Linked DNA regions of Callithrix jacchus. The main gene of each other region encodes a partner of the protein of the gene in region 3 in a complex. Links are inferred from orthologs where the notes say so. Each region holds a gene or a part of one and is shown on either strand. Other genes may lie near its edges.

Region 1 (9,965 bases), on a different chromosome or scaffold from region 3:
TAAAATGGAATATTATGCAGCCATAAACATAAGGAAATATCTTGCATAATAACAGAACAACTTTTAAGGCACGTGAACAAAAAAGGTACATAATCAATATGCATGATATGTACCACTTATATAGAAAAAGGGAAAAAACATTATATATATTTATTTGCTCATACATGTATAACATTTTTTCTGAAAAATATGCCAGAAACTGGTAGTGCTGGTTGCTTCCTAGGCAGAGAATGAGATGGCTGAGGAACAGATGTGGAAGAAAAGACTTCACAGAGTATCCTTTTATACCTTTTGAATTTTGAACCATGTGAATGAATGTGTTAGCTATGAACAAAATGACAAGTTTAGATCAGCAAGACAGCAGTTTGAGATGAAATGGGATCATATCCTTAGTAGGAAAAACTTTTAAAAATAGGCGGTACTCCTAACAGTAAATATCTGCATATGGAATGTTGAAACTGTAAGGAACTTTCCATAAGAGATCCATCTGAGCGCGGTGGCTCATGCCTGTAAGCCCAGCACTTTGAAAGGCCAAGGTGGGCAGATCACGAGGTCAGGAGATCCAGACCATCCTGGCCAACATGGTGAAATCCCGTCGCTACTAAAAATACAAAAATTAGCTGGGCATGGTGATGTGTGCCTGTAATCCCAGCTACTCGGGAGGCTGAGGCAGGAGAATCACTTGAACCCAGGAGGTGGAGGCTGCAGTGAGCCATGATCACGCCACCGCACTCCAGCCTGGCAACAGAGCTAGACTCCGCCTCCAAAAAAAAAAAAAAAAAAAAAGAGATTCATCTATTCCAAACTTCTCATTTTATAAATCTGTAAACCGAGACCTTAAAAACTCAGTGACTTATGTAAGGTCACATAGCAGAAGACATGGGATCAACTTTATTCCCATTTTCTCATTTTCTATCGGCAAAACAGCCAAGTTTGGACTACATTACAAGTTGTCATGTTTCATCTAAATTTTAAAGCCTAAAGTATAAACTAACCTTAAGCCCTCAAACTATTAATTTCTTGTTTGGCTCACTATATGGCTACACTTACAAATAAGCTGTACATACCTTTTTCATTGCATGTATACAATATGATAGATGCACGATATGACAGACACACAATATGATACATGTATTTTTTCTATCCTAATAAATCTGAATTTACTGAAAGAACTAAAATATCTTTAGTTACTTTAATTTTTTAAAATATGTACGTGTGTTGCCAAAAACATTAATACAGGTTTACAATTCCTTAACTAAAACCAAAGGGTTGGATGTGTTTTAGAAATAATAATTTCATACAGTTTTTAAATGTAACAAGGTACACAAACCATTATATAACACCCCACATAGCGGGGGCCAAGGGCAGCACCCCATAATCAAACATACTAATAGAGTTTCAGCAAAACACATGGGATAAAGACTATATACAGTTTCTCAAAAGTTCAGGTCATATTTTGCTATCAAATGACTTTTGTTGCTAAGCTTAAGAAGTTTTAGGTTTTCAGCGCTTTCTGAATGTTAAATTGAGATGTGGGATGTATTCATAAGGGTGCTTCTAGAAAGTAAAGTCAGTCACTTCGACTCTCATCTTTTTGATAAGACTAGAAAAAGAAATCATAGCAAGCAGCTTTTATATCCCAGGTTTGGGCCAAACACTTGTATAGTGGTTAAGGGTGCAAGAGGTGACATCATGAGTGGCCAAAATGGGGGTGGGGGGAGAAAATCCTAAATGTACAGCACTGAACTATTGCAGCTGTTCGTTAGTTATTAATTTAATAAAAGCGTCTTCCTTTAAATCATGAGTTTTTAACTGGAAATAGGTCAATAAAATTTCTGTCCCACATCGCTGACAAGGGGAGGGAGGCAATGAGCGAGCAAACCCTCTGGAAGGTACTGCACTCTCTCTAGGACCAGGGTACACAGACAAAAGCATTTCAAATATATAGAAATAAGCAGAAATATATACAGTATTTTCAAGTTGGGACGGTTACTCTCTAATATAAACGAAAGGGGTTTTCTAGTCCATCTCTGCGGATCTCCTATATCAAAGTTCTTCCCTTTATCTTAAAAGTCTTGTACTACCTTTTACAAGGGGAAAAAGCTCTGGAGATAGAACAAATTAAAATCCCTTCCTTTCTCTTTACAACTCAAGCGCCACCTCCATTTTGTTACTAATAATTTTTTTCTGAAAAAAAAATCAAATTTACACTGAGACTAAAATTCAACTTGGCAGACAACGTTTTTGCAACAATGTTTTAAAAATATAATTCAGTTTCGTGATGTGGTTTTGCAGTCTTACAATTTTAGCTACATTTTAACTGAACCAATTGTTTTCAATTTATAAGTTCATATTTAGCAAGTTTTTTTTTTTTTTTTTTACAAATAGTGTATTTCATTCTAAAAATGGAAATAGCACTGGTGAGCAAGAAAACAACCCTCTGAATTCTGGCTATTTTGAGGAGGAAATACTACTTTCTCAAATTTTAATCACAATACATAAAAAAAAAAAAAAAACTAGCTAGACCTTAAATACACAAACACATTAATAATCTAGTTTAATAAAAACAACAGAAAAAGGTAAACAAACTAACCAGCCTATTTTTGTCTGGAGAAAGCCCAACAAACTCTGTTGGATTCCTTGGCCATTTGCATTCAGAAGTACCAAAAACTAAAATCATTTTTACTAAAGAATTTATTCTACACGATACTTGTTTCCTCCATACCACGGTATCCAAATGATCAGCATTATTCCAGAACACAATCATTTAGTTTTAGACCACTAAAAACCCCACAGTTCAAAATGCCAGTTGTGGTTAGTCTGCAAAGAAACAGAAAGTACAAATTGTTATCCTAAGGCACAGAACCAATCGACCAAAAGGACTTCTGGAATATGCTGCCCCCAAGATTTAGAATGCACACGCAGAAATAGCACAAGCGGTCACGATGTCCCTTAAGCCACATGACCTTCCTACGAAAGCAGAGGCTTAAACTTATCAAATGAGAACTCCCCCTTTCTCTGAAGTTAAAACAAGGCAGGGCAGCTGGAATTAGTGCAGCAGGGACAGATCGGCTGCTGACTAGTCAGAACGGGTCGTGGAATGCAAAGTCCCTGTGCTTTCGCTGCTCCCCTTACCGTGAGAAGATCTGGGAGGGAGGAAGGGAGGAGAAACACCCCAGAATCCTGGTAGAAAAGCCCCTGGCTCGAAGGTGGGCTCTAGGGAGACAGGGAGGGGCACCTCCGTGTGTGATGACCCTTTGTGAACATGCACTCTGTGGCAGCTTTGGCTCCACCGAGGCTTTGGGAGAGCGGACTACGGATGCCCAGGGCGGCCGCGCTGTGAAAGCCGCGCCGGCGGAGAGCCTCCATGGCAGTACCGCCGGCTTCGGGAGCCCTTCCCTCTCCCACCTCCGCGGGTCACTCCAGGGCCCGGCGGTTCCCGACCACGCTCTCGCGGACCAGGAACCAGCGGAGCGTAAGCAGGTCTTTTTCCTTAGCGTAATCCCTCCGCAGCGGCCGCGCACTAGTTTTAATCACGCCCCACCCCCGGCCGCTGGCGCCACCTCCGCCACTCGAGCGCTTTCCAGCAGCTTCCAGAAACGTCGCCTCCCCAAACCCAGCCACTCACACATGGCGGGCTGAGCAGTCACCGGCCCCGCCCCTACTTGTCGCCGCAGTCGCAACTGCGTCTGCGGCCGCAGGGCAGGCAGCCACGCCTCTGCGGAAAGCGACCGGAAGTGCTTCCGTCTTCACTTTCCCCACCACGCCGCAGTCCTTTTAGGCCCTGCGTGCAGCAGGAAGGGGGACTCTCTTGCCGCGGACTCAAGCCGGAAGCCACCTTCCTAGTGGAGACGCGAGTGGGGGAGGAGCAGTCCGAGTGGAACGTGGGTTGAACGTTGCAACTAGGTGGTGTGGAGATCAAGCTGGAACAGGAGTTCCGAACGACCCGGTACGAAGAAGGGGAGTGCCCATGGCAGGTACGGGAAAAGAGGGAGAGGTTCCTTTTCCCTCTCGAAATAGGGAAAAGAGACAGAGCTGGGATGACCTATGGGGTAGTCGGCGCGCTGAAAGGCTGGTCTGGGCTCGGACGGGGTTCAAGTGGGAAAGGTTGATGATTAAGGTACAGAGTTGGACTTACAGATCCGTTTGGGCGCAGAGAGGTGAACGCTGAAGAGAAACCAGAGTTTGTTTTTGTTTTCCAAGGAGCGTGGAGATGAGCAGGGTTAACGGACTGTGCGCCTCCTTAGGCTTCTTAGGTTGGGTCGAAACTCACCTCTTTTGGTCCTGTTCGTCTCTGATTGAAGACGTTTGGGTTTGGTACCAGACAGGGCTCGGTGCGGAAAGCCGACCCTATTCCTCGGCTTCCAGGTCGGTTTGGCCTCGCTTTTGACAGTTCACGTGCCGAGCCTACTAGCTCTCGGAGGGCAAGCTCAGATGGGTGGGTGTGAGGCCCCCTCTTCTAACAGCTGTTTCCCTGGTTTCTCCATTTTGCACACAGGAATGTGAATTAAGTTTAATTGCATACCTTTTGCGATTCCCAGGGCCAGCTTGATACGTTCATTGTGCTGTAACTGGGTTCATGCTGGGCTAATAATTCACATTAAGGATTCTGGAGTATAAGTGGCTCATAAAAGTATGAAAAGGGGATGTTAGGAGAAAGATGTTGGGGGTGAAGTAGAGTTGAAGATAAAACTGGAAAGCTTGGTTGGTTTCACAGTACGAGTTTAGGTCATAGTACTGCCTTTAGGTTATATTGGGCTGTTTGGACTGACTTTGCTGTAATCAGGCTGGAGTAAATAGAGAATTTTAAGCTGATCATTGACAGGCTCAGACTTATCTTATAGGGGCACCATTTTGACAGTAAGATGGAAGGGAAAGAGGTGGGGATCTGAGACCTTTCCAAACAATTGTCAACAGAGTTTTGTGTGACTTACTGTGTGAAGAGGGAAATAAAGAATATGGAACAACTCAGACTTTATAGTCTGTGTGTTTCGAAGGATGGAGATGCCCACATTTAAGTGAGATATGGAAAGGAGGAGGAGATTGCTTTTGAATGGAGAAAGAGCGGTTACTTAGGGTCAGATTAAGTTGTAAAATCCACCCCAGCATTTTGTATGTAAGTCAAAGTGAATTGTATTTGAAAGAAGACCTGGTGAGCTCACCTCTGGTATTTTTTTTTTTTATGTCCCCCATATGGACAAATTTTCTTTTGGGGGATTCTATATATTCAGGATTTCAACCACCAACCTATCTGTTTTTCCCATTGAAATGTTGGGTGATGGAATTCAGAGAGCAGATTTGGAAGCTTTTTATCTTTTATAATTGAGAGAGACAATGAGAAAACCGTTTGACTTGAAAAAGTTTTCTAAGTTCCCTCAGGTAGATGGAAATTTTCATCAAAAACAGTTTATTCAAGGTACATAGCCTACTAGTTTCCCTTTTGAGAGTCCAGCAGAATGCTGCAAGTTGTACTGCTTTTTCTCTATGCAGAATGAAGTATAAAATTAGTACCAAATAGTAGGCTTAATTTGTCAGGTGCTAAGCCTTTTACGTGCTTTATATCATCTAATTCTTAGAAGAAACCAATTTTACAGGTAAGTTTCTGGACCAAGATCCGAAGGTACACAGCTTGCAAAGCAGGGACCATGGAAGTTTGACTCCCACCTAGTTCCCTGCTGTTGTTATTGTTGCTGTTGTTATTGTTGTTTTTGAGATGGAGTCTTGCTCTGTCACCCAGGATGGAGTGCAATGGCATGATCTTGGCTCACTGCAATTTCCACCTTCTGGGTTCAAGCAATTCTCCTGCCTTAGCCTCCCAAGTAGCTGGGATTACAGGCGCCTGTCACCATGCCCTCCTAATTTTTTGCATTTTTAGTAGAGGTAAGGTCTCAAACTCCTGACCATGTGATCTGCCTACTTCGGCCTTCCAAAGTGCTGGGATTACAGATGGTCAGACCTGTCCTCTAGCTCCCTTTTGTAAGTAAATTAGAAATAGAACCAGCCAAAGGTAGTAAGTTGAGCCTAAAAAGAAAGAAAAAAGCACCAGTAGTTCTCACCAGAAGGGGTGATTTTTGCCTACCAGGGGACATTTGGCAAGTCGGGAAACATTTTTGGCTATTGGATCTAGGGAGTAAAGGTCAGTGATGCTGCTAAGCATCCTTCAGTGCATAGGACAGCCTTCACAAATAATTATTTGGTCAAAGCTATCTGTCCTGCTGCAGTTGAGAAACCCTATCTTAGGGTTATTTCTTCAGGAACAGGAAATTGAGATTCACTGATACTGACTTTTTCAAAAAAGCGATTTTATTTTTGAAATTATTCCTTGGCTTGAAAGGTTTGTGAAGTTTATATAGCTGAACCAAAATAGAATAATTAGTTTTTAAAGTGAATTGTGAGCCATCGATTCCTAGGAGATAGTTGTCATAGAATCACGGATTCTTGGATTTGGGAAAGACTTATGCCTAGAATCATCTTACAACCTTTCTGCTAAGTGGTAATTCGCCTCTGCCCTAAAGGTCCTCTGTATTTCATTTCCCTATGATTGTAAGCCCACAATTAAACTACTCTTAATTAATTTTTGCTTACACTGAGCTCCAGTGTCTCATAATTTTGACTATTAAATGTGGTTCTATGACATGGGACTACACTCGAAACAAGTTGGCCACATGTGTGATTTGTACTAGGACAGTGTTTATATTTTTGTTTTGATAATAACAAAATAAGTTAAATGTGGTGTAAATTAGGTCATTTAAAATAATGTGTTAGCAGCTTTTAATAAGTAGTATTGTAGTATTTTTCCCAGCTGGTAAAGTATTCATGTTCTTGGTAGTTGAAAACAATAGGAATGTGGTTCATTGGTTCTTTTGTCCCTGTCAAATAATGGCACAATGGATCTGGGGTTTTTTAAGTACTTTCTCAGTATAATGCTGGCATATTTGTTTCAAATTGTACATAGACTCTAAAAAGTGAGGTTTTCAAATTCTGGTCAATATAGTGTGCTTTAAATAGTAGCTACCTCTACTACAAGTTTTATTTAATTTGTTCGCAAATGAATCTGCTATGAAAACTGGTCCTGTTGCCAGTCACTACCCTCTGTCCACAAACTTGCTAGGTTTATAAATACGGGTATCATTTTCACATCAAGATTTTACTTTTAGAATATGTTTATTCTAGGACATGTAGCCCTGAAAATCTGCTTAACATATGCGTCTTATAAAATAGCATGGTTCTTTTTTATAGTAAATAGAATTTTTATTTAATTGTCTATTAACTTTTTTTTTCCAGGGTTCATTGAAAAAAATCCTTAGTGATATTGACATGTTTCAAGTGACATAAATTAGCCAATGACTCGGAATGATGGATTCCTCGAAGATTGGAAATGGTTTGCCAGTGATTGGACCAGGGGCTGATATAGGGGTATCTTCACTCCACATGGTGGGGTATTTGGGAAAAGTTAGTGAACTTATTTTTTGCCTGAGTGCAAAGTTTTTTTTCTCTATTTTTGAGACTTAAATTCAGTTTTGATGTTACCAGTTAACTTCTAAAAAATTGTATCTTCCACGGAAATCTTACAGTAATGGCGAAAGATTGTTTTAATGTGTTTTACCTCTCTGTCTTTTATTGATATATGAAAGTAGAAATGAAACATAGACCTTATGATTTTCTGCTCTTTGAAAATATGGAACGTAAGTTCTCCCTGGCAGTTGATGTTACTTTTTTTCTTGCAAATAAAATTGATGCTATTCTTAACACTCAAAACTTAATATTTAAAACTATAACAATTCTTTTTGGAATATTAGCTGTATTTAAAGGCTTATATACATTTCTTTTATTTGCCATGTTTAAAATATCTTGCCAGGATACTTATAATTGAAAATTATATTTTTTTCTGATTACCTTTCCATTTAACTTTTAATATTTTGATATGTTCTAAGAATGTCTATATTTTAATTTGCTTTATTTCTCTTTTAGAATTACGATTCAGCTGAAGTTCCATCAGATGGGTATTGCCCTGCTTGTAGAAAGAAGGGAAAGTTAAAAGCCTTAAAGACTTATCGAATTAGTTTTCAAGAATCTGTCTTTCTATGTGAGGATCTGCAGGTAAACTATTAATCTTTTATAGTATATAGTTTTAGCCTTTTGTTTTTTCTTAATTGTTTTAAAATTTTACTCATTTTTTCTTTTTTAGACTAGATTTTTAATATGTAATCTCAGTTTCTAAGCCTGTCTGGTATACAATTTGAAATGTATGTTATTTTTTCACCTACTTTTCCTGATTGCATAACAATGTTTGTTTTCATTGCCATTTGACTTGTAAGAGGAAGAAATACATTTCAAGATTTTTGTTTCTTTTTTTTTTACCTTGTGGAGGTCCTTGTTGGCCATTAGCATATTGTCATTCTCTGTCATCTCTTTGGTTTGCCTTTGGAACTGATGGGAAAAGTTATGAATCTCTAATGTACCTGGAAGAGTATTTTGGAAATTGGTTAGTCCAAAATCAATATATATGCTCTGAAATAAATAGATCATAGGGGGGAACGATCCAAGATGGCTGATCGCTAACATCTCAGGATTGCAGCTCTCAGTGAAAGCGCAGAGAACTAGAGGACGCCACACTTTCAGACATATTCTGGTCGCTCACGGAGCAGAAGATCCCCAGTGGAGGAGTCACACCGGTCGCCAGCGCGACTCATGTGGCCGGCACAGCGGTTTTGCTGGCACCTCGGCGCAGCAGCTCTCGGAGCAGAGTAAACGGGGCTGGCTCCCCTTCTGACCGAGGTTTGGAGGACCCACACGGGTCCCCAGCACGACTCCGGAGGCCGGTGCAGTGGCTGTGACGGCACCTCGGTGAGGCAGCTCTCGGCGCTGAGTAAACGAGACTGGTTCCCCTTCTGACCGAGGTTTGGAGCCCCGGGAAGGCAGAGTCGCCTATTACGGACACAAGAAGGAAGCCAGACAGGAGAATCCTGGGCAGAAAAGCACCATCAGTCTTAACGCTGCTGTTCTGGCCCTGGGAACTAACAACTTGGACGTCCACTCAAGAGACGTAAGCTGAAAGTTGGTAATTTCAAAGACGACAGGAGGATAAATTTACAATGATGGGAAGAAACCACCATAAAAAGGCTGAAAATACTCAAAATCAGAACGCCTCTCTCTCTAAAGATGATCACAGTTCCACATCAACAATGCAACAAGGCTTGATGGAGAACGAGCGCATCCCAATAACAGAATCACGCTTCAGGGAATGGATAATAAGAAACTTCTGTGAATTAAAAGAACATGTTGTAGCCCAATGTAAAGAAACTAAGAACTTTGAAAAAAGGTTTGATGAAATCCTATTGAGAATAGACAACTTAGAGAGGAATATAAGTGAATTAATGGAACTAAAGAGTACAATACAGGAACTCGGAGAAGTATGCACAGGTTTAAACACTCAAATTGTTCAAGCAGAAGAAAGGATATCAGAGGTCAAAGTCCAACTTAATGAAATAAAACAAGAAGACAAGATTAGAGAAAAAAGGATAAAAAGGAATGAGCAAAGTCTCCAAGAAATGTGGGACTATGTGAAAAGACCAAATTTACGTTTGATAGGTGTACCTGAATGCGACGGAGAGAATGAATTCAAGCTGGAAAATACCCTTCAGGATATTATTCAGGAAAATTTTCCTAAACTAGCAAAGCAGGTCAATATTCAACCCCAGGTAATACAGAGAACACCACAAAGATATTCCTCAAGAAGAGCAACCCCAAGGCACATAATCGTTAGATTCACCAGGGTTGAAACAAAGGAGAAAATACTAAGGGCAGCCAGAGAGAAAGGTCAGGTTACCCACAAAGGCAAGCCTATCAGACTTACAGCAGATCTCTCAGCAGAAACTCTACAAGCCAGAAGAGAGTGGGGGGTCGATATTCAACATCCTCAAAGAACAGAACCTTCAGCCCAGAATTTCATATCCAGCCAAACT
Region 2 (9,908 bases), on a different chromosome or scaffold from region 3:
CAAAGTCCTATAAAAGAAGACAAAAACAGAAAAATTACACACTGAAACACTTCACTTAATTTTAGAGGGTGCAGCCAGTAGAAGTAACATTTGTGTTCTTTTTTTTTTCTTTTTCTTTTTTTCTGGTTTCCAATGTTTGTGTTCTTAGCGGAGAAAAATCTAAGGTGCAAAAAAAAAAAAAGAAAAGAAAAATCTAAGGTGCAAAGAGTTGACTTGATGGAAAAACTAAAACTAGCTTGAGGTACTTCCAAACATTTCTGCAACCTGTGCTAAATTAAACAGCAATTACAGACTACCCACGGAATCACAGATTATTAAAGCAAGAAGCAAGTTGGGAGAGCCAACCCTTAAGAGACTGGGCGGTTTGCATAAAGTCACAATGTTAGCAACTACATTGAAATTACAACCTAGAAATTCTTCCCAATCCATTGTTCTATTACCTCACGCTAAATCACTTCATAAACAAGTGAGAGACTTTGTGATGGTCCTATTGAGACTTTTCTTACTCAGTGACTTGATACCTAATGACAATCAAGGACTGCTTTGCAGTAGTACAAAGTACTTCCCCTCAATCATCAATCAAACTGCTACAAACCGAAGCTCCTTTGCCTATATAAAAATTACTGTTTCCTCTGATGTATCCACTTTTTCCACAAAATAAAGATGTTAAAACCAAACTGCTGGCCAGGCATGGTGGCTCACGCTTGTAATCCCAACACTTTGGGAGGCCAAGGAGGGCGGATCACTTGAGGTCAGGAGTTCAAGGCCAGCCTGGCCAACACAGTGAAATCATCTACTAAAAATACAAAAATTAGCCAGGTGTGGTGGTGAGCACCTGTAGTACCAGCTACTCAGAAGGCTGAGACAGGAGAATTGCTTGAATCCGGGAAGCAGAGGTTGCAGTGAGCCGAGATACCACCACTGCACTCCAGCCTGGGCAACAGAATGAAGGGTCTCCAAAACAAAAACCAAACTATTTGGAACTAGGTTAATAAACATATCTCTAGCACATATGGTCTTCGGAGATTTCCAAGAGGAGGAAGACACTAGGGATGATAATAGTCACACCTATATATATTTATAATCTTATAACCATATTTTTTAAAATATCAAGCACTACACTACATCAACTACATAGCAATCCTAGGGCTTCAATGTATTCATGAGACTGGATGACGATAATAGGCATTCTTTGTGGTCACAGTAATGAAACTCACAGAGAGAAAGGCTGCTTAAAGTTCTCTTGGCATAGCTATAGACTAAGTAGAGTAATTATCTGATTACCTCCTCTTACCAGGGAGGAGCCCTAAAGAATTTAAGCCTTAGATTTAGGCTTCAAATATATTTTCAAATGCTCAACTTAAAAGGCTTCTTTATCTAAAAATTCTTTAGGTATTCTTTCTCCTTCCTTCTTCTTTAACAGAGTAGAATCCCCCGGGTTCCAGATTAAGGGGGTTAAGGGGGAAAAAATCATATCAACCAATATATTAGCAACACTTTTTTTTTGACATTTTACTCTTTAAGGTTGCTTTGTCATCGCTAGCCTTTTTTTTTTAAATATTAAGAAGAAGGCCGGGCGCGGTGGCTCATGACTGTAATCCCAGCACTTTGGGAGGCCAAGGCGGGTGGATCACGAGGTCAAGAGATCGAGACCATTCTGGTCAATGTGGTGAAACCCCGTCTCTACTAAAAATACAAAAAATTAGCTGGGCATGGTGGCGCGTGCCTGTAATCCCAGCTACTCAGGAGGCTGAGGCAGGAGAATTGCCTGAACCCAGGAGGTGGAGGTTGCGGTGAGCCGAGATCGCGCCATTGCACTCCAGCCTGGGTAACAAGGGTGAAACTCCCTCTCAAAAAAAAAAAAAATATTAAGAAGAATACCAATTTGAAAGCCTGGTGCCCAACAGAATAATCCCACGTTAATCTCCCTGCATTTTGTTGAGACAGATGTGAAAAGAAAAGGAAGCTAGAAATTCAAAGAATTCTACAGATTATATCCAGAGAGGTTAAGTGACTTGCCTGAAATCACAAAGATGGGGCAAAAAGAATATAAGAATCCATGTATCCTGACTCCAGGGAAAGTGCACATTTCAAACATCGTACAACTTCAAATCCTTCAACACAGCCTCAAAGATTCATACACACTGGCAATCCAAAAGTAATCCCTCACTAACCCTGGGGAATCCACACTGATTTTTGATTTTAAATAAAGCCCCACATTTATATTTTAATACAAATACATCCAGCTTCTTCAGTGTGCTTATGGTACATTCCTTTCGCCACCTGCAGTTACACTGGGAGAAGGAATATTTTACCCCAAGATTCTCCATGAAAATGTTGAATCTGGAACCTCTGATGCCACTAAATTCCTGCAACTGAAAAATCTTTTCTTTTAAAAAAAAAGTATCCTAATAATTCACTTCCTCGTACACACTGGTCATTTGATTTCCTGGAAGAACATAAGCAGTTACAGTCATTCAGATGAAGTCGGGTTAGTAGCTGAACACAAGGTGAAGGGAAATCTGAAAGAACAAAAAAGATCAGGCTTGACAACTGCGGTGACACATTTACAGTCTTACACACATGCAAAGGGGATTATAAAAGACAATGTTCAGGGCTGAAATGAAGTTACTAGAAAATATATATTGAGCTAATGTTAGCTTTATCCAAGACCAAGATGTGGTGAGCAGAATTTATGACATGAGAAGGGTATGAAAGCAATCACGTGAAATCACCCTTTTCCAAGTTCTGAAAAAGTTATGTGTACAACAGTTGTACTGTATCATCATGTGCTTGAGGTTATTTCTTCCCCTCTATCTTTACATGTAATCTCTCCCAATCAGACTCTAACACCTTAAACACCTTAACACTCTAACACAGTAAACCCTAAGTATTCAAATTTTTTCATACATATTCATTTACTGTGCACCAACTACGTGCAGGGTGCTGGGAATACAAAAATGATTAAGAGAGCGTCCCTGCCACTGAGAAGCTCACTGTCTAGTAGGGAAAGCCAGATCCGTAAACAGATACAGCAAGACAGCAGAGCTAGTACGATTGATAGAAGAAGAAGTTCGGAAGAAAAAGACAGATTTCCAAAGGCGTAGTCAACAACTGCATGCCCTTAGCCAGAAGTAGCAGAACCTGTTTTTGCATCCATCTACTCCCTCCAGACAGCTCGTTAGATGAGTGATACGAAGACCGTCTTTGCAACTGGGGTAATGAATTGAAGTCAGTTAAAAATGAATAAGCCTGGGCTGGGCGCGGTGGCTCAAGCCTGTAATCCCAGCACTTTGGGAGGCCGAGGCGGGTGGATCACGAGGTCAAGAGATCGAGACCATCCTGGTCAACACGGTGAAACCCCGTCTCCACTAAAAATACAAAAAATTAGCTGGGCATGGTGGCGCGTGCCTGTAATCCCAGCTACTCAGGAGGCTGAGGCAAGAGAATTGCCTGAACACAGGAGGCGGAGGTTGCGGTGAGCCGAGATGGCGCCATTGCACTGCAGCCTGGGTAACGAGAGCGAAACTTTGTCTCAAAAAAAAAAAAGAAAAAAAAGAATAAGACTTCCTAAAAGGTACTAAAGAAGAAAAATAAAGGGGGCGGGTGGGGGGTTGTAGAGTGGAAGTAGGTTAAGGGATCATCCTTAAAGAGATGATTAAAGTTTCAGTGTAACTGTAATTTCAAAGTCAGGGTAATCTGTATTTCAACACGAGTTGAAACACAAATTATTTTTATGAACGATAAAGATTTAGGAGACGATGTGCTCTAATCCGTCCAGAATAACCCATTACAACAAAGACCCTCAGTGAAATCGTTGGTAGTAGATAAAAGGCTTTATGTGAATATTACAAGAATCACCACCACTCCAAGTATAATGTGTACCAAAGACGAAGTAAAATGACTTTAACGAGGCTGACTTGACAGTGATAAAGGAGCAAGTGATGCCAGCCAGATAGTGGAAATACTGCACAGACACCGATAAACAGAAATCCCCAAGCTCGAGGGAAGGGAAACGAGGCGCATATCCAGGACCACGTTCGGGTGCACCCAGGGGGCCGGTTCCAGGGAATTACCCGGAGGCGATGAGCCAGGTAAGCCACTGGGGCCGTGAAGGGGATCTTCATAACCTGAGCAGGAGGGTCCGGCCGTGTCTTTCTGCTGGTGGCACCAGCGGTAGCACCGCTCAGGGAGACACCACAGAGCAAGAGAGTTGGAGAAATGTTTACGTGGGGCGCAGGGGGAGTCCGGAAATACCACTCAGGTCTCAAGGAAGGCGGGAGGTGAAGCCGGCAGCGTAGACGGCCGAGCTTCCCGGGGAAAGCAGCTCTCCCTACGCAAGACCCTGCTCTGGCGGGAAAGCCCCGGAATCCCAACCGGCCTTTTCCCACAAGTACGGCAGGGCGCGGGGATGGGCCTGTTGTAACGGCTGGGAGACGGCCTCTCCGCGGCCCGGGAGAGAGGACCGCAAGGAAGGGCCTCAGGTAGCCTAACGGCCACCGGCGGCCACCGCACGGCCACCGGACAGCAGGGGGGAGGGGAGGTGGTCCCAGGGGGCGGGGCAGAGGTAAAGGCGCCGGCCCCACAGTGCTCCTCGCTTCCGCCCAGTCCAGTCCGGGCCGGCGGACCGGGTCCGACACAGCCTCCTGGCCCAGGTTCCCTCCATCCTCACCCCTCCCCCAGCTTCCCGCCGCCACTCACCGAACCGGAACCGGCTGCCATGCGAAGGGGTTTCCGGCCGGGCGCGGAACGCAAAACCCGGGAACCGCCGCGAACCGGAACCGCCTTCACAGCACCGGAAGAGCCGTTCGGTGGCTGCGGAGGAAGGGGGTTGGGGCAGGAGGTCAAAGAGCAGAGCTAAGGACCAGTGGGACGCCTGCGCGGTGTGGCAAGTCCCCAGAAGTCAAGGGAGCATTTAAGACGAGTCGTAATTTCTCAGTTCCCTTTTCAGTCTGGGCCTTTTCGCTTTCTCGCGCCCGGAATACTGTTAGTGAGCCCTTCGTCCTATGCTTTTCTCTGTTCCCTCAGCTCCCTTACCCGCCTCCTTCTGGTTCCGCTCGGCGAGTTTTGCTTGCGTTCCAGTTTCTATGGCAGCTTTTCGCTGCGGCCCCAGATCTGCGGAAACCCGTGGCTTCCCCCGACAGATGGAGACCTGAGATCTAAATCGATGTCAGGCTATCTCGTGTGCTGTTGAGAATCACAGAACGTTAGCGCTTGTACAGGTTATTGGAGATAGTTTATGGTCTTAACCGGGTTCAGAGAAGTGATTTCCCAAGGGTTTTAAATGCATGTCGCATCTAAGACTCGGAAGCAAGTTTCTTAACTGGCAGTTCTGCTCTGCACCACCTCATGCTTGATGGACCAGCATACAAAAAAGAGAAAGCTGCTTGGGGACGGATGAGGTTAGGCTCTGGCAAGATGTAGAACCTTCCAGAACTCTGGAGGGATTTGAAACATAGGCAGGGCTGTGAGGAAAGCTACTGGGAGTCCACCAGAGATCTGCTTTTCTGGGTAGAGATAGGGAAGGAACCAGGAATCACCTGTGACCTCTGAAGGGCTTGGTTGTTCCTAGGTCTCATTGATTAACCTGAAATCTGCCATACTTTCTAAAAGAAAATAATGGGAAGAAGTCAGTCACGGTGGTTCACATCTGTAATCCCAGCACTTTGGGAGGCTGAGGCGGGCAAATCATGAGGTCAAGGGTTCAAGACCAGCCTGACCAACGTGGTGAAACCCGGTCTCTACTAAAAAATACAAAAATTAGCTAGGCGTGATGGCGCACGTCTGTAGTCCCAGCTACTTGGGAGGCTGAGGCAGGAGAATTGCCTGAACCCAGGAGGTGGAGTTGCAGTGAGCCGAGATTGCGCCACTTCACTCCAGCCTGGCGACAGATCACGACTCTGTCTCCAAAAAAAAAAAAAAAAAAATACGGAACTTAGCCGGGCTTGGTGGCACGCACCTGTATTCCCAGCTACTTGGGAGGCTGAGGCAGGAGAATTGCTAGAACCCGGGAGACGGAGGTTGCGGTGAGCCGAGAATGCCCATTGCACTCCAGCCTGTGCAACAGAACGAGACAACGTCTCAAAAATAAAAAATAAAAAGAATGAGAAGAAATATGTTTGCTCATTCAGACTGTTTGTCAAACACCTCAGCTTGGCAGGCCTCTGGACCCAGGTCCTGTAGAAGTCTCAGAGAAATCCCCCCTCAGTAGGTCCTTTACACTCATACCACAGCCACAGGCACAGTCTGAGCTCAGGCTTGAAGAAGGGCAGTTTCTGGAGGCCCATGCCTTTCTAATACTCTTAGCAGCTTGCTGAGTTCCTGCCCTATCAAATATCTCAAAGTACATTGTGTCGCCCCATATGTTGATACTTACGTATTGTCAAGTCCTGAGGCCTAGTAGCATTAAGCATAGCTGTTCCATGTCAGTCACTGACATCTTATTCCACAACTCTGTTCATTTGGATTAAACTCTGTCTCTCTTTCTAGGAGACAGCCATGCATAAAGACGAGTTTCATCTGAAATTTTTCATGTGTGTGATTCAGTCTCGCCAATTAGTCAGGACTCGTCAGAGAACAGGTACCAACGTCTCCTGATCATACTCTAGTGAGAGAATGGGTTCTCTCACAAGAAGTCTCAATACAGGTTGTGAGGCTTTCTAATGTAAATATGGATTTTAGGAGTCAGCTGACCTTGTTTATCACATTCTCACTTTGATAAAATATTGATCACTAAGTCATGTCTTTTCCATGTGTAAGTATAGGTAAGATTTTGGCCTAGTTTGTTGTGTTAGATGCCAGGCAGATAAGGAGGACTTGAGAGTTGACGGGGAACAAAATTGATCCCATTAGCTGGTCATTGATTTCTGTGTTGTTTTGTAAATTACTTTAACAACATTCTCACAGATTAGTGTGGGCTAATCTGTGAGAATCTTTATTGTCATTATAACTGACACTCCGAAACTATAAGATAAAACAAGTCCAAAGGAAAAATGGCCTTCTTATCCACCCCACCTCAAAGCATCTAGTTATATGTTCTGCTTTTCCGCCATTTATATCAAGGGAATAGAATATTTTTGAGGTAAGAGAGTTGTTGAGAACAGTCATCACTTCTCTGATTTTTTCACTGGATTTTTGGAAAGAAAGCCCTGGAGAACTGAGAGTCATAGGGAAAATGAAAGAGAGTAAGGAACACTCCCTTCCCTGCAACTCACCTTGAGAGTGACCTAAAGCTATTGCTTCTCAGCTGGGGAAGCTTCAACTTCCAGCACATTCATACCAAAGACAGATACCTTGAAGAGTCTAGACACTACGGATGATCCAGACACCGTGGGAAGCATACCTATTTTTAAAACTGGTGAGGCGTGTGGGTAAACAAGGGAGAGAAATGTGGAAAGGAATATGGGAAAGTGAAAGTTGTATACATAGTATTATAAATCAAGGTAAATCTACCAAAGCTGAAATATAAGTTAAGACCCAGGAGGGAAAGTCTCTGTGTATGTGAAACAGAGAGAGAGAAAGAGGGATGGGGAGGGAAAGGAAGAAGTGAGAGAGTTAGGGATCCTTTGGGAAACAGTGGACACTTCTCTCTATGAAGAATAACTTAATTTTGTCAATATTTAATCAATTGGCTCGTAACTGTAAACTACCATTCCGGTTTATTCTATTGTCAGCATCCTTGGTATATAAAATATGAAACTTAAAAAAATTGACTAAATGAGTTGTGATTTTACAAAATGATTCTAAATATTGTAAAAAATTTTTCATCTTAGGAAACATTTAATAGGTTTCTCATGTATGCTCTAAGTAATGTTTAATTCACAAGCAATTTATGTGACGCTTCAGAAACACATCTGTAAGTTTCTTTTCAACTTAAATACATCTATATTGGAGTCCATTTACTGCAAAACTTTATTGAGTTCCCACTATTTGCCCAGTATTAGAAATGATAGGTTATAAAACATATGTATAAGACATATCCTCGCCATTGCCACAAGAGCTTGCTGTTTGGAAATGTCTTACACATTATTTAGCTCAACTCCCTTGTATTTTCAGGACTAAAAGGTTTTCCTCAAAAAGTTAATAATTTCATTAAAGTAACAACTCCCGACACTTATGAAATATATATATATATAGTATTTAGCCATATTTTTGAGCACTTGTATTTGAAATTGTTGGGACTGGACTCCATAGGAAATGAGAAAATGAACTAGACACTTTTGCTGTTCCCCAGGAGCTTATGATTAAGGAGGATTAGAGAATATGGAATAATGTGTAACTTAAGAACTTAATAACTTTGGTTCAAAATGTTGAATTGGTTCAAAATAAGATGCCATAGAGATGTAGAGAAGAGTGAGCTGACTGGCTCACAGCTAGCCCCTCCTTTTCTCCCTCCCTCCCTTCCTTCCTCCTTCCTTTTTTAGTTTTTCTTTTCTTTCTTTTTTCCTTTGAGACAGAGTTTCGCTCTTGTTACCCAGGCTGGAGTGCAATGGCGCCATCTTGGCTCACCGCAACCTCCACCTCCTGTGTTCAGGCAATTCTCCTGCCTCAGCCTCCCGAGTAGCTGGGATTACAGGCTCGCACCACCATGCCCAGCTAATTTTTTGTATTTTTAGTAGAGACGGGGTTTCACCAAGTTGACCAGGACGGTCTCGATCTCTTGACCTCATGATCCACCTGCCTCGGCCTCCCAAAGTGCTGGGATTACAGGCTTGAGCCACCGCGCCCAGCCCCTTTTTTCTTTTCTTCCTTACACACAGACAACTGTGTGTTGTCTACATCCCTTTAATCAGACTTCCTTTGCTCCTGCGTGGAAAGCAGCAAGAAATAAACCCAGCTGGTGGCTTTTTCCTGCTGTTTCTTGAATTTGTACAGATGATTTCTTATTTGCCCTCATCTTTTCTGCTTTTCTCATTCTCCTTTTGCTCTGATGTACCTAATACCCACCTCAGACTCCCTGTGCTCTGATGACCATTTGGACCTGCTTCTGTGGTTTGAACTCAGTATTGTCTCATGAACAAAATTCTGATGTTCAACTTCTGCCTTTAAACCCTGGGGTCTGTGTGGCTCAGGTAAATGGCCACTCTTAACTCTTTCAGATTTCCCACTAAAGAAAAGAAATCCAACATTTTCCCAGCCCCAATAAACCTTCCATTCCTCCTCTTCTGCCTGCCTCCTTGCTTCCTTCCTTCCCCGTCCTTTCCTTCTTCCTTTCCTTTTTCCCTCCTACTCTTATTCCTTCTTTCACTTCCTTCCAAGAAAATTTGTTGAGCACATACTGTCTCAGGTGCTATGCTTGGCACTGGGAATAAAGTAGTAAATAAAACAGGTACTTTGCTCTCATGAAGTGTATAGTCTTGTGGGACTAAGGCAGTCATCACACAATCACACATGGTTATATAAGCAGAACGGTGCTAGTACAATGAAGGAAAATAACACCATGTTTCAGAGGATAAAACGGGATGTAATATGGCCTGAGAAGTCAGAAAAACCTTTCTCAGGAAGGCCTGAAGGATGAATATGCAATAGCCAGGCAAAGAGAGAAGAGCTTTCCAGAAAAGGGGACAACAGGCTGTGAAATGCGAAGGGGTGGAATGGGCCAATGTGACTTGATGATGGAGAGAGAACAATACAGGTGGTGTAAGAGCCGGATCGTGCAGTGCCTTCTAAGTCTTATGGGCACTTGTGCTCCGGGAAACCACTGAAGAATGATAGGATCATATTGCGTTTTAAAACATCTTTTTGTCTCCTGGGTGGAGGATGGATTGGAGAGGAAACGGGGTGGTTTTCTGCTCTAATAAGATGGCTGCCCCTGCCTTGCTCCATTTCTCACCCCTAGTCAATGCATCACTATAGGGCACCAGTGAAGTTGTGAGGAACTCGTGTCATCAAATAGCAGAAATGAGCAC
Region 3 (9,811 bases):
AGGCAGCAGCCAGCAGGCAAAGCCCATAGGAGTGGCCTGGAGAGGGACCCCCTGGCCCAGGGCGAGTCCTCCGAGCACTACCAAGAATGACTGACACGCACACACATACCAAGTCCACAATCACACAGCAACCAGAAGGCGTCCGCCCAGCAGGGCACTGCCAGTGAGGCAGCTCATTATCCTGAAACTGGAGAAGGAGGAGAAAGAATCACACACTTTCTTTCCTTTCCTAACAAAAGGGAAAACCACACTGCAGATGAGGGCACTGTTTCTCCCGGGCTACTCCAGCTCATATGCAAGGACAAGGTGACAGTGCCATGGGGCACACGCCACCTGCAGCTGCAGAAAGGCCAGCCCCGGGCAGGGCTCCCAACAGCCTTCAGCATCACAGACTTCACAGATGTCAGTGCCCCATGAAGAACACAGCCCCCAGGAAGCCGCCTTGTCAGGAAGAAAACCCCACTGCACTCATCTGAGCCTCCAGGGCCCCCCGCCACATAAAAGGCCGTGGGGGCACAGTCAGCAAGCCCAGCCTGGGCCAAGTTTACAACACAAGCACCCGCCCACCCGCCTGTCCGTGAGGAGGGCGCCTCGAGCAGCTGCAGCTGGGTCCAGCCCCGACACTCATGTTCCCGGGATGCCTGGAACCCACGGGACCTGCACACACGCGGGAAGCCGTGCGGGGGGCCGAGGCGCGCACCTGCCTCTCGCAGTAGGCCTTCATCAGCTTGCTCAGCGGTGTGTGCCTCTTGATCTTGAACTGCACCACGGAGCCGTCCTGCCCGGCCACCTTCAGGTTGATGTGGTCGTTCTCTGTCTTCACGCCCTCCTGCAGGGGACACCAGAGACTGGCCTCAAAACTGTGTCTCAAAATAACCGCGACTTTGCAGGGCAGGTCCTTAGGTGACCATCAGCTCTTTGAAGTCCTTAAAGACAACCTAGTTCTTAAAACTGTCCAGGAGTCGGAATCACTCATGTGATTGTCTCATTTTTACACGGAATTGATTTTTAACTTCCACTTGTTAAGCATCTGTGGGTAAAACAATGCGAATCTACAGTCCTCTAACATGGTTAATTCAAAGAAAACCCGTTTAATAAAGCTAGGGAAAAATCAGAGAAGATCCATCTTTATTTTAAAGTGATTCTTGTGGGCTGGGCACAGTGGCTCACACCCATCAACCCAGCACTCTGGGAGGCTGACGTGGGAGGATGGCTTGGGCCCAGGAGTTTGAGACCAGCCTGGGCAACACAGCAAGACCCCATCTCTTTTTTAAAAAATTATTCTTATGAAAGCAGTAAAAAGACATATCCACAAGTCACTACAGCTATTCAGCACTAGTAAAAGAAACCAAAACAGAACAAAACATTTGCGACTCAGAGGGACCCTGTGGGTCATTAAAGTGGTGACCTCAGGAATGCAATTGAGGAGAGCCGCTTCCCACGGCGGGCAGCCAGGCTCCTTCTCACTGCCCTGTCATTGGCAAATGTGAAGGGAGCCATCTCCGAGTACTTTCTGGTTTCAAACTGTCCCATCTGAGAGCAGCGGGTAGCATTTTATTTTTTAATTCATGCCATGCTTGAAGCTGCTCAGCAAGGCACAATCAGCGTGTCTTGTTGCCTGGAAATGCATTTTCAGTTGAGGCAAGAAGCCGATGTCAACAGATTGGGAGCCAACTTCGGGGCAGCTCAGTCTGAGCAGCAAAGTGGGACACCCCTCAGGCTGCCTGCACTGCTGGGTGAAGCCGTCTGAGTGAAGCGACGGGGCATCTGAACGTCAAGTCTGGAGCACCCTGGTACCTTCTCACCCTACGCGGAGGTGCTCCCAGAGGGAGCACTGTACATTCCTGGAGACCCTTGGGGAGGTATGGTGCTCTCTGTCAAGGGAGCAAGAGTGGCCTGTGAGGGGCCCTGGCAGTGAGGGGCTCCAGCCACAAGCCTGAAGATGTATATTCTGAGGTGGCACTCACCCCCCAACTCCAGTCTTGGACCAGGCATCCCTGCCCACTCCAGGGAGGACACTGGCTTCGCAGCAGCTTGAGTGGTGAGCTGGCACACCCCCATCCCCCCACCCCCTCACCCCCAATGTGGCCTCCAGCACAGAAAAAACTGGCCCAGGAAGTGAGGGCATGCAGACCACTCCGGGCAGGATGTTAGTGGGGACCCCTGCATGAACCCCCTTCACTTCCCCAAGCATGAGGACTCACTGGTTTCTTTAGGGAAGGAAGATATGGGTGTGTTCAAAGGCACAGATGCAGGACCCAGACCTGCCCACACCGGGCAATGGCTGCGGCCCCGGGAGAGGCTGGGGCAGGGCAGGGCCAGCCACAGCACCTCTGCCCCATTAACAGCCAGATGCCAGGAATGAACAGTCTGTTCCAGATCCCTGGTGAATTCCTAATAAACAAATGAACTCGTGAGTTAAAAAATGAAGCCCTGGGCCGGGCGCAGTGGCTCACGCCTGTAATCCCAGCACTTTGGGAGGCCGAGGCGGGCAGATCACAAGGTCAAGAGATAGAGACCATCCTGGCCAACATGGTGAAAACCCGTCTCTACTAAAAATACGAAAATTAGCCGGGCATGCTGGCAGCTGCCTGTAGTCCCAGCTACTCGGGAGGCTGAGGCAGGATATCACTTGAACCCGGGAGGTGGAGGTTGCAGTGAGCTGAGATTGCGCCACTGTACTCCAGCCTGGCAACAGAGCCAGACTCCGTCTCAAAAAAAAAGAAGCCCTAAAAACATGGACCCCAGTTCACTACAGGCAATCCTCTGCCTCAGCTATTCGGGGAAGTCAGAACTATTCTCCACCTGACCCAAAAGCTCTTCTTCCCAGCACCACTGGGTCCCAGGGTCCACTTCTTCCCCTTCCTCAGAGGCCCAGGGCAGAGCTGCTCCCACACACACGAAGGGGACCCACCACAAGTGGGTCCGGTGAGGTGGCAGCCATCAGTCATTCCGGAACTGAACAAGTATTTTCAACGGAATTGGACCCTGAAGTTGAGCACGTGGCAGAGCTAGGTTTAAACACTGCTGAGAAAATGGGTCTCATAGGTTCTTCATTTACTCTTCGCTAAGAGGAAGCTACCTACAAAAACACAACAGACACTTATCCTTGGCCTAGTTTTTTTGCTTTTTGTTTTTTGGAGTCTGAGTTTCACTGTCACCCAGGCTGGAGTGCAGTGGTGCGATCTTGGCTCACTGCAACCTCTCCCGCCCTGGTTCAAGAGATCCTCCTGCCTCAGCCTCCCAAGTAGCTGGGACTACAGGAGTGTGCCAATACGCCTGGTTAACTTTTTGTATTTTTAGTAGAGACAGGGTTTCATCATGTTGGCCAGGCTGGTCTCAAACTGCTGACCTCAGGTGATCCACCTGTATATCTGGCCTAGTTTTAACAAGTATTTAAATATTCCAACAACCCCAGGGGTGGAAGAAGTTTGAGTTCACTGAAGTCAAACTGTAAAAAGCAAAGGTCACTCCAAACACTGGATAGAGGTTTCCCTGGAGTTTCACTACACAGCAAGTGGAGTGCAGCCTTCCAGAGAGACCCCGCCCGTGGTTCCAGGAGCTTCAATCCCAGTTCCCACTAGTGTCTAGCACTGAACCTCCACGCTCACTTGTAAACGGAGGGTGGTCACCTCCAGGACCAGGCCAGTATCAGAGACAGCCTCCTTACAGAGTCTTCAGCTCTAGTCATCTTCCACTGGGATATGACACCATCTTCCACTTGGTCGACAGTGCACACCAAGGGCTTCAGAAGTTTCTCTTTCTTTTTTTGAGACGGAGTTTCGCTGTTGTTACCCACACTGGAGTGCAATGGCAGGATCTCGGCTCACTGCAACCTCCGCCTTCTGGGTTCAAGCAATTCTCCTGCCTCAGCCTCCCAAGTAGCTGGGACTACGGGTGCGCACCACCATGCCCAGCCAAGTTTTGTATTTTTAGTAAAGATGGGGTTTCACCTCGTTGACCAGGATGGTCTCAATCTCTTGACTTCGTGATCCACCCGCCTCCGCCTCCCAAAGTGCTGGGATTATAGGCCACCGCGCCCGGCCTAAGTTTCTCTTTTTTTTTTAGGCTAGTCAAGTAGTTTCTGTTTTTTTAATCCTGGTCAACATGACTACAGACCCTCCCAAAGACAGGCCAGTGCACCTTAGTGAAGGGTGCACACCCCAGGACTGAGACAGGATTGCATACTCCAGTGTGGCAATCGAGGAAACTAAAACACACCCAAGGCTGGCTAAGGAGGGGTGGGCATGCATAGGGGATGGGCGCAGACAGGGGTGGGGGTGGGGTTGGGAAGGGTGGACGCACACTGGGGAACCCGATGGGGAAGGGTGGGTACACAACGGGAGGTGCGATGGGGAGGGGGTGGGCGCACACGAAGGGGGATACGATGGGGAGGGGTGGGTGCACACTAGGGAACGAGGTGAAAGGGGTGGGCGCACACGGGCGCACATGGTGGAGTGGGTGGGTACACACGGGGAGGGATGGGTGCATACTGGGGACACGATTGGGGAGTCTCGAAGAGAGGTGGGCACACACCGGGGATGCGATGTGGAGGGGTGGGCGCACACGGGGAAGGGGGGTCGCGAAGGGGAGGATGGGTACACTGGGGGCACGATTGGGGATCGCGAAGGAGAGGGGTGAGCACACACGGGGACACGATGTGGAGAAATGGGTGAATACCAGGCGCGCGATGGGCACCCTGAAAGGATGGCAGAGCTGTTCACAGGGGCCAAGCCCCTCAGAGCACGCCCCTCCGGGGTAACCCCGGACGCTAATCCCAGAGCCAACCCGTGCGCTCAACATGCGACCCTCCCAGGGCGATGCGGCGGGAGAGGGCGACGCCACCGGGCAATGACTCAAGAGAAGGCCACGCAAAGACGCCTCAGGGGCACCGCCGGGGCGAGATCGGAGGGCGCCGCGCTGGGCAGAAGCAGCGCGGGGCCCACACCCGGCGCAAGACCTGCCGCTTCCCGGCCGGGGAGGGGCGGGGCGTGGAGCAAGGGCGTGGCCAGGCCCGGCGGGGGCGGAACTGGAGGCACAGAGCGCTTCGGGGCGGGGCGCGCCTTAGGCGGTTCCACTTCGGGGCGGGACACTACAAGGGGTGGGGAGCGGGGCGGAGCCTGGCTATGGGAGGAGAGAAGGGGCGGAGTCTTGTTGGGGGCGGAGCCGGGCTGGAGGCGGGGCGCGCCGCCGAGCGCCGCCGGGCGGGGGAGGGGAGCGGCGAGCCGGGCGGAGCGGGGGAGGGGAGGGAAGAGAAGGGACGGGAGCGCAGGCGGCGCCGCCGGCCTGGGCGCGGGTCCCCGAGGTCGCCGCGGTTTCCTCGGGCCGACGGGGAGCGGCGCGCGTCGGCGGACGCGCCCAAGACGCCCGCGATGGCCGCGCGTGCAGACGGGGGCGCCGCGCTTACCTTGGGCTTCTCCTCGGACATGGCTGCTCGGGCGGCGCGGGCAGGCGGCGCGGGGGAAGCAGCGCGGAGCGGGCGAGTCACGCTCACGGCCCCGCCGCTCTCCCGCCGCAACTGCGCGCGGGGCCGCGCTTTATCCCCCAAATCCCGGCGCGCTCGTTGGCCGGCGGGGGGTCACGTGTCTGCGCGCGTGCACGAGGCGCGCTCCCTGGGGCGTCGGGCGCGCGCTGGCCTGGCCGCGGCTCCCGGCGCTTGGAGATGCGTCACGGGGCGGGTCCGGCGCGACCCCGGCGGGCTCAGACGGCCTAGGGCACTGGGGTGCGCGGGCCAGAGGCGCGTGCGGGGAGCCCGGGCCCTGGGGACCCCTGCCTGCCTCCCCTCCCGCGCCCTGGCCCCGACTCCTTTTCTGGGGACAGCGTTCCTGGGGTGCGGGAAGTGAGGCCGGGCCGCAGCCCGTGAGGCGGAGGAGGGAGGCCCCTGGGGGCGACGTTCCCTCTCGGGAGCCGCGGACGGAGCGGACAAGGCGCCCGCGGGGTCCCGGCCGCCGAGGCCGCGCGAATCAGGCCCGCACCCGGGACGGTTGGGGGCGCCACGCGGCTCCTTGCAGCGGCAGCTTCCTGTCCGTTGTCAGCCCGGGCCGGGCTCCCTCGGCCGCCGCTCCCACCGGGCTGTGCCGGGCCCTCAAACCCGTCCTCAGGAAGACCCGTTTTACCTACGAGGAAACTGAGGCACTGGGCGGCCCAACCATCCCCAGGTCAGCGCTGGTGAGCAGCGCCGAGCGCGGGCAAACCCAGGCTGGACGCCGCCGGTGCCGGCGGAACGGGGGCTCGCGGATGCGGGAAACGCGCTGGAGCGCGGGGCCGGCAGGGCCTCCCCGGACTTGCGGCGCCATTCCTGGGGTGCCCGGCCCTCCCCGCCTCCGAGTCTGTGATCCCAGGTTCTCGGATGGAATGCGCGTGAGGGCGGGCACCCCTGCGTCCCTCGGCAGTGCCAGGGCGGTGCCATCCGGGCATGGCGGAGGCGGGGGAGCCGGACCCCGCAGGCTCAGCCGGGAAAGGGCAGGACCTGGATTTGAACCTAAGCCTCTGAGCCGGGGACGGCCCAGCCAACCGAGCGCGGTCGCAAAGCCAGGGGACAAATCTTAGCGGACCGTAACTTCCACTCTTAAGAATTGGCTTTCTTGGCTAGAGCCCCCACTGAGGAGCGGGAAGGCCGGGGAGGTCTCTCGGTGAGAGGGTCGGACGGTCAGCCCAGGTCCCAGGGTGTGGTCCCATCTTTCTGGAACCTGGAACCCAAGGCCTCGCAGAGGATGCGGAGGTGGGCGGCCGGCTTAGGCTGTCTTGGGAGGGGGACCCCTGCAACCAGCCCCTTGCGAGGGGAAGCGGGGCTCAGAGCCCCTAGATTGCTGGTGGGGAGAGTCGCAGGGCAGGCCGACTCCGAGACACTGTTGATCCTAAAACATAAGACCACACGGTAGCACGGACATTAGATTCCCACGGGCTGTGGATAAGGCAGCCCGCTTCATGTTGTGGACGTGAGAAACACGCAGCTTAGAACTGATGACACGTGGAGCCCAGGTGTGTTACCACTCGCGGTTAAGCCAGGTGCATTCCTCTGACAAAAAGCCGTGTCACGAATATCAAGGATGCTCAGATGACATTCAGTTTTCAAGAGCAGGCTAAAAGATGATGGTGGTCCGAATCAAGTCATGCTGTGTCTGCGAAGAAAGAACGCTGCTCCCACACTCTGACCTGCCCCAAATCCTTCCTGTGACCACAAAGATGCAAAAAGGCTCCACTGAGCTGCGGGGACACAAAGGGCACTGCTGGTAGACCAAACACCAACAGGTTTCTGAAGGACACAGCCAAAGGGGATCGAATGGACCAGAGAAACCAGAGCTCAGGAAAAACCAGGGCCTACCATGAGCACAGGGTCCAGATCCGAGACTGCCAGAGCCCGTCCTCAGTGTCGCCAACACCTGGTGATGGTCCCAAGAAGACTTACAAGAAGGCAGGAGCTGGGAAATGAGTAAGAGGATTGCTGACGTGAAAGCTCAACCCGTGTGCTGACTAGGAGAGGGGTCCTGGCTGAGGACACAACTGCCAAAGTCACAGGACTCTCCCATGACAGAGAACTAAAGAGAGGGAAGGTGGGAAGCCAGGACACTGGGCCTCAGTACAGGAAGGGCTGTGTCCACCTGACAGGAGCTACAGAAGGAGAAGGTGGAAAAAAGGAAGGCAGGACAAAAATCAAAGGATTGAAGAAAGTATCTCTGAGGCCCAGTGCAGTGGTTCCTGCCTGTAATGCCAGCACTTTGACAGACTGAGGCAGGTGTATTTCCTGACGTCAGGAGTTCGAGACCAGCCTGAGCAACATGGTGACGACCCGTCTCTACTAAAAATACAAAAATTAGCCAGGTGTGGTGATGCATGCCTTTAATCCTGGCTATTTGGGAGGCTGAGGCTGGAGAATCGCTTGAACTCAGGAGAGGCTGCAGTGAGTCGAGATCACACCACTGCACTCCAGCCTGGGCAGAAGGACGAGACCTTGTTTTAAACAAAAGAAAATAAAATTCTCTGAACTAAAGAAATATTTGACTCTATAAATGGAAAGGACCCCTGAGTATTGAATGGCTGAGAGAAGACAGACACTGAGATGGGTGGTGTGAGGAGAAATGCCTGAAGCATTCAGAGAAGTTTTTCCTTACAGTTAGGAAGGACTGGTTGCCTCAGACAAACCCAAGAAAAATAGCTCAAAAATCGGTATAAAATATTTTTAAATCTGTTTAAGTATATCGGATAGTTACAAAAACAAATTTTTCTCTGAGGGGCAAAGACCTCCCACCACCTCAGGAAAAAGGCAAGTTGTTTTTTGTTTTTTTTTTTTTCTTTGAGGCATTTGGTGATAAGTATCCTGTATTATTCAGCCCAGACTTTCATAAAAAAATACAAACCATGGATAGTTATTTCCCAGCCTCCAGGCAGTTCTGGAGACTGGAAGCCCAAAATCAGTGAGCCATCAGGGTTGGTGTCCAGTGAAGCCTCTCCTCCCAGCTCGTATGTGGCCACCTTGGCATGTTCTCACATGGCCTTTCCCCTGTGTGTGCAGATGGAGAGATCTCTGGTGTCTCTTCCTCCTCTTGCAAGGACACTGGTACTATGGGATTAGGGCCCCATCCTTACCACCTCCTTAAAGGTCCTATCTCCAGATGAAATGGGCTTCACTATGTGAATGCTGGAGGACACAATTCAGTCTCACATATGCACTGGGAAGAAGTTGACACTCTGAGTGAGCTTTTGAGTCTTACAGGGTTGGGGACGCAATAATTGGTGACGGCCCCCAAGATAGGCTCTGCTGAGTGACCCAGACCTTCAGCCGAGAGCACTGAGTGCTGCAGTAGGGGAGGAAGGCTGAGGGGTGACTGGATCATCCCTCTCAAAGTCTGAAATCAAGCTTCCAAAGGGCTCAATCCCAGACTCAACTGATCTGCCCTCTTTCCCAAGGCCAGCCTGAAGCAAAGGGAAATATACTGAGGAAAATAGCATCATCCAGGGCCTCAAACTAATGAAAATATTTCCATACACAATATCCGGATAAAGTTCACAAAGAAAACCAGAAGACAAATGATCCAAAGCCAAAATACATATAAGAAATAATCCCATGGAATTATTATGTCAACAGGATATTGACATTATCATACATAGACTTTAAAGGAATGTGATTAATATGTTCAAGAAAGTAGATTATGAGACGAAAATGTTCAGCAGAGAAGTGGGGTATATAAGAATCTAATGGAAATTTTCAAACAAAAAATATACTAGCTGAAGTTATAAATTCAGTGGATGTGTTTGAAACAGATTAGACACAGTGAAAGAGATAATTAATGAACTGAAAGATAGGTCAGAAGAAAATATTCAGAGTGGCCGCAGTGTAATCCTAGCACTTTGGGAGACCAAGGTGGGTGGATCACCTGAGGTCGGGAGTTTGAGACCAGCCTGGCCAATATGGCTAAACCCCATCTCTACTAAAAATACAAGAAATTAGCCAGTTCTAAAGCTCCCTTTTTTTTTTTTTTTTTTTTTTTTTGAGACAGAGTTTTGCTCTTGTTACCCAGGCTGGAGTGCAATGGCATGATCTCAGCTCACTGCAACCTCCGCCTTCTGGGTTCAAGCAATTCTCCTGCCTCTGCCTCTCGAGTAGCTGGGATTACAGGCACGTGCCACCATGCCCAGCTAATTTTTTTATTTTTAGTAGAGACGGGGTTTCACCATGTTGACCAGGATGGTCTCGATCTCTTGACCTCGTGATCCACCTGCCTCAGCCTCCCAAAGTGCTGGGATTACAGGCACGCACCACCATGCCCAGCTAATTTTTGCATTTTTAGTAGAGACGGGGTTTCACCATGTT

The links.
Region 1: the proteins of SUMO3 (region 3) and USPL1 are in contact, whole or in part, in a crystal structure (PDB 7ZJU), measured with the Homo sapiens proteins. The link is inferred for Callithrix jacchus from reciprocal best matches to the Homo sapiens genes SUMO3 and USPL1. Residues at the interface, in NP_008867.2 of Homo sapiens: Gln24, Asp25, Gly26, Ser27, Val28, Arg58, Arg60, Gly63, Gln64, Pro65, Ile66, Asn67, Asp70, Leu75, Phe86, Gln87, Gln89, Thr90, Gly91; in NP_005791.3 of Homo sapiens: Ala234, Cys236, Trp237, Pro321, Gln322, Leu323, Arg324, Met330, Glu331, Ser332, Val334, Phe335, Leu339, Tyr368, Thr378, Thr380, His393, Phe394, Gly395, Pro396, Asn398, Arg407, His421, Val423, Tyr451, Asn454, Asn455, His456, Phe457, His493.
Region 2: the proteins of SUMO3 (region 3) and SENP1 are in contact, whole or in part, in a crystal structure (PDB 6NNQ), measured with the Homo sapiens proteins. The link is inferred for Callithrix jacchus from reciprocal best matches to the Homo sapiens genes SUMO3 and SENP1. Residues at the interface, in NP_008867.2 of Homo sapiens: Gln24, Ser53, Arg55, Gln56, Arg58, Arg60, Asp62, Gly63, Pro65, Asn67, Thr69, Asp70, Gln74, Glu76, Asp84, Phe86, Gln87, Gln88, Gln89, Thr90, Gly91, Gly92; in NP_001254523.1 of Homo sapiens: Gln440, Asp441, Glu446, Arg449, Leu450, Thr451, Lys455, Trp465, Leu466, Asn467, Asp468, Glu469, Asn494, Thr495, Phe496, Lys500, Arg511, Trp512, Lys514, Lys515, His529, Gly531, Val532, His533, Trp534, Gln597, Gly600, Ser601, Asp602, Cys603.

Annotation. Positions count from the first base shown.
Region 1 is NC_133506.1:149,819,506-149,829,470, forward strand, and holds the start of USPL1 (SUMO-specific isopeptidase USPL1), read left to right. Parts: upstream 1-3,844; 5' UTR 3,845-3,977; intron 3,978-7,284; 5' UTR 7,285-7,353; coding exon 7,354-7,452; intron 7,453-7,971; coding exon 7,972-8,100; intron 8,101-9,965. UniProt on the Homo sapiens protein: SUMO-specific isopeptidase involved in protein desumoylation. Specifically binds SUMO proteins with a higher affinity for SUMO2 and SUMO3 which it cleaves more efficiently. Also able to process full-length SUMO proteins to their mature forms.
Region 2 is NC_133510.1:2,419,830-2,429,737, forward strand, and holds the start of SENP1 (sentrin-specific protease 1), read right to left. Parts: upstream 5,221-9,908; 5' UTR 5,038-5,220; exon of another isoform or gene 4,814-5,037; intron 4,795-4,813; exon of another isoform or gene 4,095-4,794; coding exon of another isoform or gene 4,086-4,094; exon of another isoform or gene 3,926-4,085; intron 8-3,925; 5' UTR 1-7. Other genes in the region: PFKM (ATP-dependent 6-phosphofructokinase, muscle type), read left to right, coding at 4,086-4,094, 6,490-6,580, 7,247-7,357. UniProt on the Homo sapiens protein: Protease that catalyzes two essential functions in the SUMO pathway.
Region 3 is NC_133522.1:50,470,044-50,479,854, forward strand, and holds the start of SUMO3 (small ubiquitin-related modifier 3), read right to left. Parts: upstream 5,523-9,811; 5' UTR 5,429-5,522; coding exon 5,408-5,428; intron 830-5,407; coding exon 701-829; intron 1-700. UniProt on the Homo sapiens protein: Ubiquitin-like protein which can be covalently attached to target lysines either as a monomer or as a lysine-linked polymer. Does not seem to be involved in protein degradation and may function as an antagonist of ubiquitin in the degradation process.